Linked DNA regions of Danio rerio. The main gene of each other region encodes a partner of the protein of the gene in region 3 in a complex. Links are inferred from orthologs where the notes say so. Each region holds a gene or a part of one and is shown on either strand. Other genes may lie near its edges.

What was found.
Region 1: sart3 (region 3) and ccnt1 share a complex: the UniProt entries of both Homo sapiens proteins name them as parts of the 7SK snRNP complex. The link is inferred for Danio rerio from reciprocal best matches to the Homo sapiens genes SART3 and CCNT1.
Region 2: the proteins of sart3 (region 3) and usp4 are in contact, whole or in part, in a crystal structure (PDB 5CTR), measured with the Homo sapiens proteins. The link is inferred for Danio rerio from reciprocal best matches to the Homo sapiens genes SART3 and USP4. Residues at the interface, in NP_055521.1 of Homo sapiens: Asp437, Ser438, Ser439, Lys440, Gln490, Arg493, Glu494, Trp496, Asp497, Met500, Thr501, Ala505, Trp511, Tyr514, Lys529, Arg533, Cys537; in NP_003354.2 of Homo sapiens: Met24, Thr27, Leu28, Ser53, Trp54, Glu123, Gly125, Leu126, Phe127, Val128, Lys129, His130, Cys131, Lys132.

What each region holds. Positions count from the first base shown.
Region 1 is NC_133198.1:38,752,901-38,757,204, reverse strand, and holds the start of ccnt1 (cyclin-T1), read right to left. Parts: upstream 2,953-4,304; 5' UTR 2,924-2,952; coding exon 2,754-2,923; intron 1,994-2,753; coding exon 1,912-1,993; intron 1,821-1,911; coding exon 1,692-1,820; intron 1-1,691. UniProt on the Homo sapiens protein: Regulatory subunit of the cyclin-dependent kinase pair (CDK9/cyclin-T1) complex, also called positive transcription elongation factor B (P-TEFb), which facilitates the transition from abortive to productive elongation by phosphorylating the CTD (C-terminal domain) of the large subunit of RNA polymerase II (RNA Pol II).
Region 2 is NC_133181.1:44,915,819-44,920,068, forward strand, and holds the start of usp4 (ubiquitin carboxyl-terminal hydrolase 4), read right to left. Parts: upstream 2,904-4,250; 5' UTR 2,892-2,903; coding exon 2,743-2,891; intron 1,379-2,742; coding exon 1,251-1,378; intron 1-1,250.
Region 3 is NC_133180.1:21,202,711-21,206,364, reverse strand, and holds part of sart3 (squamous cell carcinoma antigen recognized by T-cells 3), read right to left. Parts: intron 2,272-3,654; coding exon 2,119-2,271; intron 608-2,118; coding exon 420-607; intron 1-419. UniProt on the Homo sapiens protein: U6 snRNP-binding protein that functions as a recycling factor of the splicing machinery. Promotes the initial reassembly of U4 and U6 snRNPs following their ejection from the spliceosome during its maturation.

The DNA.
Region 1 (4,304 bases), on a different chromosome or scaffold from region 3:
ATTGCAGATCCGCACATTGTGATATCGATGCTGAAACGATATATTGTGCAGCCCTAGGTGAGTGCACGCAATTGGTCTGGCGCACACAGAGTCATACCCTTCGCTACTGCCAACCCTTAAATGCACCTCTCAAAAAAAACTTAACTACATGTTACGCCAATGCATAGTGCAAGATATGTGACCGCTTGGCTTGATAGCATTGATGATTGTGATCGGGGCCGAGAGTTGCAGGAGAGGAGCGAGCTCCTTGGCGTGAGTGTTTAACAAATATTGAGTCCCTGTGGAGAAGCTCTAGATGAAGATATTTGTTTTGTGTTTATGATTAAAGTTGTTACACGTAGGCATGGGACGATAACCGTTTTCAAGGTTACCGCGGTTTTAAAAGGTCAAGGTTTTAAAACCATCAAAATTTTCCTAAGAGATGTGTACGATTTCTTTTTTTACGTTTTTTTTGTTTGTTTTTTTAGGGCAACAGAATCTCCTGGTGAGAATATTTATCTGAAGACGCCATTTTAAATTGCTAAAAAATCTGTTTTTGAAGCAAATGAAGACAGCTCAAGTGAATAATTAATTTAGCATGACATGTTTACTGCACCAAAATATTTTAAATGTTTCTCAAAATAAAAAATAATGTGTTCAAAAGTTTTTTACCCAGACATTACCCTAAAGAAAGAATAGATTTTAGAGCAGTAGTCACAATACAGTGATATTTTTACCCTAGGTTTTTATACCGTCAGAATCTTAGGTCCATGCTTAGTTCTGCTGGTTCTTAACCTCTGAATGAGTGAGTTTGAGCTACTTGTACAGTGAGTTTGCATTAAAAGTATTTCCAGTAAAAACAAAACACCCGTGAAGAAACTCGGCACAGAAAAATATAGAATCCCCCCTGCCAGCCTGCGTTTCGGTAGTGTTACAGTCAGCGCAACACTAACAGAAACCAGAAATATAAAAGCATGACTAAATGCAAGATATGTGCCATGGGTTATGGCAATCACTAATGCAGAAGTATAATTCAGCCTTAAAGTGTCATACTTGGGGAAAGGTGCTTTATGCAATGGCACAGGTAAACAAGCATCGGAATTGGTACTTGGTATCAGCCGATCATGACATTTTCGGTTGTATTGCCGGAGCAGCTCTTTTTTTTCAACGAAGGAAATAAATCTGAGTTTAGTAGACCATTGTCATGTAAATGTACCTAAAATGGATATTTTGATTAGTCGATAGAAACTTGTCTGATCTGGTATCATGGAGTTATGAACTGTTGGTCAATTAAATAATTTAGATAAAACAACTACAAAATAGTTACATTCAGAAACAAAAATAGGTGAAAAAAACAGCACTCACTCAGGACTCTGAAAAATTAAAGCAAGTTCACTCCAAAGAACATTTTTTATTATCATTTACTTTAGTTTCAGTTTTTTAGTTTAGTATTAAAATTTATAACTGAAACGAATTCAATGCCGTACAAAAAATGCAAAACTACATGCAACTAACCCTAAGCCAAAACTCTATTTCAAACCCTATAGTAAATACACAGTTGTTAACTTCCATCAGTCAATACTTAAATACAACTAAACTCTAACACCTTAAAATGAAGTGTACCCAAAAGATCAAGTAACATTTAAACAAATAACGTAGACAAAACCAATGTTTTTAAGGCCATAATCCATATACAGTACAGTATTACTTACATCACTCCTGGTGTCCGGTGATGGGTCCTGAGGATTGAGACATGCATGGGTCACCTTAATCACATGCTCCAGCTTACGGGGCTGTTCCTCCACCTTCGCTGCTAAAAACAGAGCTGCAGGAGCAATCACCTGAACAACACGGGACATTAAGAGATTATTATCTTGTTCAATGCAGCCAGCATGTTTTATTTGAAACGCGTATATGAAAGAAGACACATACATTCCGGTGGAAGCGAGTGAAGGACTGGACCATGTAAAAGCGATGCATATACACAATGGCAGTGTTAATTGTGAGTTGTGAGCTGAGTGTCCAAAGTTAAGGATTGTAATTCATTAAAATAACAAAAATAAACAGTCTGAAGGCACTTCTGTCCAATATATCATGCAAAATATGACCTTGTCAGTCACAGATTCGTTTTATCTAAGCCTCTGGTATTTTTATTTCAATAAGAGAGATTGCCAGTTCATTTGATACCCTTTAGCACCAGTAAAGTTAAAAGTGAAAGTACTCAGAACGACAAATAAGACGAAAATGGCTGGTTTTCATTAATCTAAAGCACATTAGTAACATAAGATAAAGCAGGACAGCTCATATTTCCTCTATATACTAACTTAAATGTCATGTTACTGTAACAGAGCCACCCTGAAAAGGGAAAATGAAACTATGCTGATTACTATATTTACATATATATTTGAAATGGCATAAATGACATAAACGCCTCATTTTAGAGTATAAACAAATGATGTAATGAAGTAAACAGAGTCAAATTCATATTGGGAATGGCTGTGACACCGGCTACGCTATTGTTCAATGGCAGAGACACCTCCAGTTAGGCCTTGAGGCCTACACCAAACCAAAAAATAAACGCAAAATTGGGACATTAATCCTTTATTCCGTTCGCCTTAATCCACAAGTTTCACAATTGAAAAGGCGTGTATACTGGTAGACCCGTTTCAGGTCATTATAACGCTGAAATTCAACACCACTCGTGCCGCCCAAACCGGCGTCAGCCTCCTCGGAGCAGCTGCCGAGACCGACGCCTGCCTAACTGAAAAAGATACACGTTGAGCCGCTGTCCCATGTCCTGCAGCAGGTTAGCAGCTTGCTGTCGGTACGAGAGCTCTTTGTCGGGATCAAGTCCCGCTCGGCGAGATGGACTGTTTTCGATTTGTTCGCGCGTGAAGTACCATTTATTGTTATTTTGCGAAGGCGAAGGGAACGAAGCCGCCATTACTGAGAAGGACAATGTTTTAAAATCTCACTGCGTCACAGGAAGCGCGTCATCGCTGGCTGGAATGCGACTGCGGCGCTGTTAGACTTAACCCATTCACGTCTGAACAGTACAAACATACATTGATGCAAATTTACTAATCAAAACCCTTATATATATATATATATATATATATATATATATATATATATATATATATATATATATATATATATATATATATATATATATATATATATATATATATATATGAAGTAAAACTGTGTTTGACAGCATTTCTCAGAGCAAGTTTAAGTCAGCTTATCTGCCAACTCATTTACTTCTACTTCTCTACATGAGGATGTATTCATAAATCTTTGTTATGCTTTCAATTTAGCATAAATGTTGTACAAATTTCATACAGAAACTCCTGTCTTAAAGATGATCTCTTTAATTACTGTAAAAATCATATAATGCAGATAATGAGTTGGAATATAGTACTATCTCTCTTCATTGTGTTTGCATCCATTGGGTGGCCAGTCAAATTGACACCATCTCTAAACAGTCTTACTGTATATTTTAAAATGGTGATATATCAAGAGTTTTATTTCTATAAATATAGAATTTTTTTTTGCAATTGTACTCTTCAATACACATTAAAAAACATAATATTTCTATAAAATGGAGGTATCAGTTTTGCAAATAAACTCTTCATAGACATCCTGCTGCTGCTGTGTAATGGGCGTCTGGAGGTTTTTTTGTTTTTGCATTTTTACAGTGCAGTTTTAATCGAGACGTCCGTAATATCAATAAACAGCTGCAATTCCTCCTCTTATGTTGAATACATGGCATATTTTGTTCATATCAACGTCATTTTAGACATGCTTTATTTATTTATTTTTATTTAAAGAACAGCATATAACATTTTAACATTTTAACATAAATGTTAAAATTTATGAATATAATTTTTTTTTAACATCTACATTTTCTTTTCGGTTTAGTCCCTTTATTAATCTGGGGTCGCCACAGCAGAATGAACCGCCAACTTATCCAGCATATGTTTCACGCAGCGGATGCCCTTCAAGCTGCAACCCAGTACTCCCATACACTCCCATTCACACACATACACTACGGCCAGTTTAGCTTACTCAATTCACTTATAGCGCATGTCTTAACTGTGAGGGAAACCGGAGCACCTGCAAGAAACCCACATGAACACAAGGGAGAATATGCAAACTCCACAAAACTCAAATCAGCAATTTTCTTGCTGTGAGGTAACAGCGCTATCCACTGCGCCACCAATAATATAAGTAAATTAGTTAAATAAAAACAATTTCCTCTTTTCAAGGGTCAACAGTAAAGCCAAAAAGTACATTTTCCCACAATAATAAGAGAGGCTTAG
Region 2 (4,250 bases), on a different chromosome or scaffold from region 3:
AAAAGTACGAAATTGCATCTCTTAAATGTTTTAGGTGCTAATAAATCAAGTTCAAATGTGCACCTTTTGAAAAGGTACCCCCCTAGTGACAGCTCTCGTACCTTTATTTCAGAGAGTATAGTACAGTATTGCCAAAGCATTTCATATATATATATATATATATATATATATATATATATATATATATATATATATATATATATATATATATATATATATATATATATAAAGTATGTAATACAATAACATCATTAAATCAATAAAATATACAGCAAATGATAAATAAATAACAGAAAAAGAAATAAAAATAGACATTACTGCAAAAATGATAATTACTAGAATAAAAAGTGTAGACTATTTAAATCAGGCAAATTAGCTGATTAGCCATTTCTAATGGTGTACAAATATTTTGCAGCCAGGATAATTTGTTCTCTCTGAGTTTATAGTACAGTTGATCTAAGTAGTTTATCAATTAATTATTTAATGTTTTTCTTAAAAAGGTAATGCAAAAACACATACAAATAACAACAACTTTAAAAAGCAAAAGTAAAACCCAAATCCTGAACATTTTAAGACATCCAAGAACTATGGTCAGAGAGATTTTGGAGTATCTCTGTGGGTCTGCTGGCTTGGGATTGTCTGTGTGAGTGTTGACGGTTCTCGTGCACACAGAACCAGCAGTAGGAAACATGCAGAGCGAGAGAAGATTTTCCACTGGTTAATCGATCGCAAATGTTTGGCTTTCTTGGGTGGCTGTTGATACACCTGGGCAGCCCACCCAAAAAAAATCTATGTATGTGAAGCATGTAATAATATACTTGATAATGCAATACTCACATTTGGTGCTTGTTGGCTTAATTCTGGTCTGATTTCAGGTCACAATAGTTTTGGACTAAAATTTGAATTAATAAAGTAGTTATTCTGAGATGATCTTCCTCTCCAGTGAGCTGTTAAAGCTATATATTGTTAATTATAGTCTGTACTGAATCAGTGAGTGTGTCAATATACCTAAAGGATTAGATCAATTGGACTCATAAGCTAATCATTACAAAAAATATATAAATGAAAAGACTTGATTCAAACAGTTTGCATTTAATGGAGAAATAATTTTTAAAAACCTTAAAAAATAAATATTACCAAAAAACCTTTCTTTTTATATATATGTATATTCTGGTGGCAAAACATGCCCATTTTTCTTTATAACATCCATCTGTAAGAATGTGGCAAAACAACACTCAAACATTCACTACCTGAAAAGAGGCCAGAGTTGTCAATGGGTCCCGGGTAGAGATTGTGCTCTCCAACATTGTACAAATCCCAGCTGTCAAAGCCAACATATTTCTTCCACTGTTTGAACCACCGGCTGTCAATCAAATACCTAAACAAATGAAACAATAGCTGGAGATCAGTGAAGAGTCAGAGGGAACAGACAATTAATGTGTTTCTCCTAAATTATGAGCGCAAAACAGTATGCAAAGCGAGTTTCTATTTAGTTACATTACACACCTACCAATTTAGAACAGTCAATAAGGATGCCTTTCTTAATCTCATCTAAAGTAGGAACTTGTTCCACTACATAATCTTGTTAGCACTTGATTCCCTCTGCCAAGAGACAGTCATTGCACTTTGATAAAATGTCAAAAATGTAAATTAACTGACTGGAAACCCAAAAGTGAAAATTTTGTCATTGTCGGCACATTGACAACTTGAATGTTTACATGCATTTTAGCAAAACAAAACGCATGGAATGTAGCAGAAGCTGTCATTTTGAATGAACTAACGTTATTCCTTTAAATCCAAAATGGTGATTTGCACAAGCATAAAGCTGAACTAAAAAAATAAGTCTATTAAAGGTGTCAAGACTCTACTTCTCGGATTGCTTTCCTAAATGAAAGCCACACAGAAACAAACAAACAAAAAAACAAATACAAATATTTAACAGATAATGTATTACATGTTTTGACCTTCAATCTACATAATTTCAAAATATATGTATGTGCATGTCTTATCGGTGCCATAAACTCTTCTGCTGCCTAACAACATTTTGAGTGACTGGGTGTTATCCAGTGGCCATGACAAAGCACTGCCTGCAATACTTGTTTATGTAGCTTACACTCCTTTCTACAACTTTAAAAGGAGAAGTCTGACCTTTATTTTAATCTAGTTTGTCAGTAACCCTAAAATAAGTTTGACGTCTGACAGAAAATAACACTTAACCCGTCAACGAAACGCAAACTAGGCTGGCTAACTAGCCTCGGCTAAAGAAGTGCCTTACATGCCTGACGCTACTTTGCCATGCAACATTAGCTTATCAGAAAACTGATAACCGACAACGGGGTGCTTGAGTTTATTTAACGTTACCAACTCTTCAGCTAACGTTACTGACGTGCCTAAAACACCTTATGCATTAAAGAGACATTTACGGTGGAAATACTGTGATGTTTGGGGAGAAATGGAATGCTAAGGTTGGTTAACCTGTGCTAACTAGCTACAAGACAACTTCATCGTTTTTTAACCGACATAAATTGTGTTAAATGCTAATAATATTAAACCACAAACTGTTGTGTCATATCGCCTGAACAGTAATGTACTCTATATAGTTTCTGGGTGTTAGCAGAACATGTGGCTGTCCACAGCCGGAGAAGTGAAGGGATTTCCGGCAGCCGGTGTCTCCGTCGGTAGGCCTGAGCTGATGCCGACAAGCGTGCCATGACTACGGCTTTATTTAAAAAAAACTCTTACCACTCGTCTCCCTTTCGAAGTAGCGTTTTTAGCAGTGTCCCGATGCTCTGCTTTTGACTCTCGGTGGACGGTACTGGTGTCTGTGTGATCACCGGCTTCTCGTCAGGGTCCGAAGCGTTACCCGACTCGGGTCCGCCTCCCTCCGCCATCGTGCAGCGAGTGAACCCGCAGTGACCGCGAGCGCGCTGCTGAAGTATACCGGGGACGCGCAGCGCTAAAGGGAGCGCGCACACTGGAGCTACTGCCGAGCTCGACTAGCCGCTACATGCAATCTGGGAGCGGCTGATAAATGAAACAAACCGAGCCCTCTGGTACAGCGGTTAATAAACATTTTTTATTAACTGAAATAAGTTTACTATGTTTTAGTTTAATATTGTTACATGTTCTGCCTATAAACTGTAATTTAGGCCTATATTCAATTGTTATTGTCCAATTACTTTATATGAACATGACCAGAAATGTATTTTCTGCTAAGACATTTTTACAAACACTGAGTGCTAGTGAAGTTTAACCTTAAGTTTAACTTAATGATATAAAACGCTCACCAAAATGTTTTTATTTTTACAATTTGTAAAAAAAAAAAAAAAATTATATATATATATATATATATATATATATATATATATATATATATATATATATATATATATATATATATATAATTGTAAAAACAATTCTTAAAATGTTTCAAATTTGAGATTGAGATCTCAAAATTGATAAAACTGTTATTTCTGACTGCAAATATGCACAGGTATGACTTTCTTTCAGGATACATTTGACTTATGTTTGTGAGTTTTGTGTGTGGTGTTCACATAGTAAATGCCATAGCATAACCTTTACATAGATTTGTACCATTCCAGAATAGAAAAAACAAAATAAAACAAAATGTTCATGATGAACAGTGGTTTGGTGTCCACATCATGACACCTCACTTTATACACTTTTTATATATTTATTTGTATTTATTATTTATGTCAGTTAGCTACTAAAATGATTAATGTTCCCTATTAAATTCAGTCTTAGAAGATTTAATCGAATAGTGAATTGCAAAATATTTCATTCGGAGCTGGATCTGTTTCATGAGTCAGCTGAACTGATTCACAAACCCCCTCTAAAAGATTCATTCATGAATCAAACATAACTGAATCAACAAATGCCAAAAATATGTTGCATGATGGTTTTATTAACATGTTTACAAAACTGTACTGGTTTCGATAAATAGCGTTTTATTCAAAGGTCCAAAAATGTACATTTTTGTTTTCTTTAATATAAATGATCAACATTTTAGTTAAATCATGATTATATTGTTGTGTAGGTATTTTTTAACAAGCCACTGCAGGGAGGATCAGGGGCCTGCACCGTGAAGCCAGAATAGTTTGCACCAATTCTGTTTTTTATATACCATAAAGGTAGCTCAGCTCATTCATTCATTTATTCATTCATTCATTCATTCATTCATTCATTTATTCATTTTCTTTCAGTTTAGGCCCTTATTTATCACAGCATGT
Region 3 (3,654 bases):
TATATTCTGAGACAATATTGTTTGCTTTTTTGTTGTTTTCTGTTGTACTTAAAAACCTTAAAATAAAAGTATAAAAAAAAAAACAAGGAACCGACAGAACCTGCTGAGATGTATTGAGCAGCATTCACTGCAAAACACGGCAGATTACAAACAGCTGCTCTTCAAAATAATGAGTTGCATCTTTCACAATCACAGTGAGCCTCATCGTCACAATTTAGGTTTTGCTTAATCATTCAGCCCTATATGTTGTATTTACACTTCGTAGTAAAAAAGTGAAGCTTTTTATTTCTCAAATAGAATATTTACAGAAGATTTGATAGCAACAGATTTTCACAGTAAAATCCCAGACATCCCCAAAGCCGTACTTCAGTGTGCGCATGTGTGTGATCAGCTAAACTGGTGAATGCAGCAGCACTTACGCTCCCTGAAGTTGCCTTGGCATCGCTGCCCCCAGGAATCGACTCGGCGCTGCTTCGTCTTTCATCCTCCTGCCTGGGGGGTTGCTAATAGCAACAGAGAGGGTGAAGTTCTCTAACATGGTGCCATCCATCTTCAACACCGCCTGAGAGGCCTGTGCTTCATCTTCAAACTCCACATACGCCAAACCCTACAAACAAAACCCACAAGCTTTGTTCATGTTTCACAACAAGCAGCTTCAACAATCAACAATCAGTGAGTCAGTCTGTTTCTCTTTATACAGAGGTTTACATAATCTTGGATCCAGATATTTAAACAGCAACATTTTAAATTAATCTGAACTAAATCACTTTCAATTTCACTTGAACTGCAACAGCATTCGATCATTACTCTCCTCCCTGCCTGAAATGCTGGAATGTTCCATAATCTGAAATACTTTTATGTCTTTTTTTTCCATCATTGATAATCTCCTTACATTATAAAGGTGCTATAGAAATAAAAATCTCACATCTTTCAATAAGCATTTTAACCACAGAGAAAGACATCAATGAAACAGTTTGTAAACAATGTTATAAATACCCCATCAAATTAATATCATCTCCTGGTGTAAGACAAGCATTTCAAATTTCCTGTACTGTAAGTGATCCTTGGTGACTATACTATGGCTAATCTATGCCAGCTAACTATTTGTTGGGATGTAATTGGGCCTAGGCAAATATTACAGATCCATGTTGTCCACTGAACATTTCCTCCCCAGAGATTATAAACCAGATGAGGGACAAATTAAACTACTTTTGGAACTGCTGTTCCTTTCCTATTTTTACAGCCTAATAAGGTAGGCACTGAACTGAACGCAATTTCTTTGTTAGATTTGAGTTGTAGCTCTTGTGTCTTTGGTAATGTAGCTTTTGTGTTTCACACATTATTAGTTTTGCAATCTCTGGAGATTTAATTTGAAACATCCAAAAGTTTCAAGTCAGTGAACTCAAATAGAGCATCTCTTCTCTTCCATCAATATCAGATATTTTTCTTTCAAAGTTTAAATTTTGTGTGGCTCCATCCCTTGTGTTCCCACACTCTTTAATCATCACCTGGGCGTCTGCTATGTCAACAGTGCTCAGCAAAAATGAGAACACCCCTCACAGACTTGTGCACTTTAGGCACTTGGGTTTAGGTACGACAGAGTAGGGTACGTTTAGCTAGCATGAACGCGGTCTTCTGAACTCAGGTGCGCACATGTCAACCGTACCCGAGTCCACCTGAAAGAGATGGTCTGGGGTATGGTTCAGTTCACTTCTAATATAAATGCAATTGTAACAAAAAACAGAAATGAACCACCAACTGTACAACAAACTATCATTTTCATAATGTTCATTCGTGTGCGTATGTCTGTGTATCACCTGCCTTGGTGACAAGCAGAACTGACCCAGTACAAACATAGTCATAACGTCTGCTCATCTACAATAAAAACGATTTCTGCAGATATCGCATGATTTTCTGAACGTTTTGGATACGGTTCAGGCAATTAAACCAAGTGTGTGTGAAAGCACCCTAACTCACTGAAGCACTATTTCTTTACAATGGATGGATGAATAGACATTTTATCATAATCAAATACATAAATCATAAATTTGCAAACATTACACCTCTGGATTAACAAGTATACTGGTGTCATTATATTAGTGACAGAAACCTACACACCTTGGATTTGCCAGAGCGGTTGGTGACTATCCGGATGGCTCTGATTGTGCCGTGTTCTTTACAGAGATCCTCCAGTGTCTCTTTAGTGGCGGAGTATGGCAGGCCCGAGATGAAGATCTTGTGCTTTTCCATTGAAGTTTTGTACTTAAAAACCTGCCAGACAGACACACGGTTATATAAAATGATCAGCAAGGACTGAATGTTACCCATTACATGTTATAGAAATTATTTGAATTGCACTCCTCATTATGCAAGTCAACACCATAGACCAACTAAAGGTAACCCTAAGGACTATAACCCTTTTCAAGTTAAACCGCAGTTTGGAAATAGTACGATTTTAAAACCGCCAACATTTAATGTTATACCGTTGTAGCAGAAAAGATCTCCAAAGATGCCGTTTTAAATTGAAGGAATCTGTGTTTTTAAAACTAATGAAGACAGCAGAAGACAGTGAAAACCAGGTGGCTCAATTTTACGCACTGGCGGAGCTCGGCGACCGAAAAGTCCTGCTTTCCTTTTTGTGTTCAAAAGGGAAAAAGCTTTAGTTTTTTTTACCCAGACATTTAAAAAGTATATATATTTAGAGCAGCAGTGATAATACTGTAAAACCGTGATATTTTTATACAAGGTTATCATACCGTCAGAATCTTATACCAGCCCATGCTTAATATACACTATGATTAAAGCAAATAAAAAAGTGCTCATGACTTTAGTTCACAGTTAAAAGAAAGACACATGAATATTTTAACAGTGCAATTATCACTTACATATTATAAATATATTAAGTTAATAATACTTACAATATATTAGCCTAGGGGATCTCTCAAGTAATTTATTAGTACGACCCTTATATATTGCAGGGTGTCTGCAGGACTCACCAATTCAAATTTAAGACTAAGACCATTATGAATAGATTTTTAGACTTTAACAGAACTAAACACTAACAGAGAGGGGGAAAACTAATTTGATTCTTTCTTGGCCGCATATGAATGAATGTAACTACTTAAGTTTTATTGAGATGAATTGTTGGTGATTTAGATGATGCACTGTTCAATAAGCGTTCTCGCTCAGCAGTGGAGATTTCCTACTGTTATATCTCTTAAGTTGTTTAACATGCGGTGACACGCAGTCAAATATTTAGTCGAATAGATCAGCAACTTTTGACGCTTCTAAACAATCATAAAGCCCTCGTGCTGAAGGAATTATGAGGTTTGCTGAAGGTGCAGCTGTCGTGCAGTGAGGGGTTTGCTTCTTTAATAACCTGCGACAGTTTGTGTTCATTGAACAGTAAGAATGAATAATCAATCCATATGTAACAGTCCCTTAAAAGTCATGTCTCGCTTTCAGTTTCGGCCTCAGGCCCGTTTTACACTCACACACAAGCGTACCGCAGCAAAGCCCAAGTGAACAATGCCTGAGCCCGATTCAGAACACTCACACTTCTCAAGCGATCCAGGAAACGGGCCTGGGCATGGATCGGATAGCATAGTGCGAGTACGCCCTTAGTTTGATGTTTTTAAGTGCCTATTATTATTA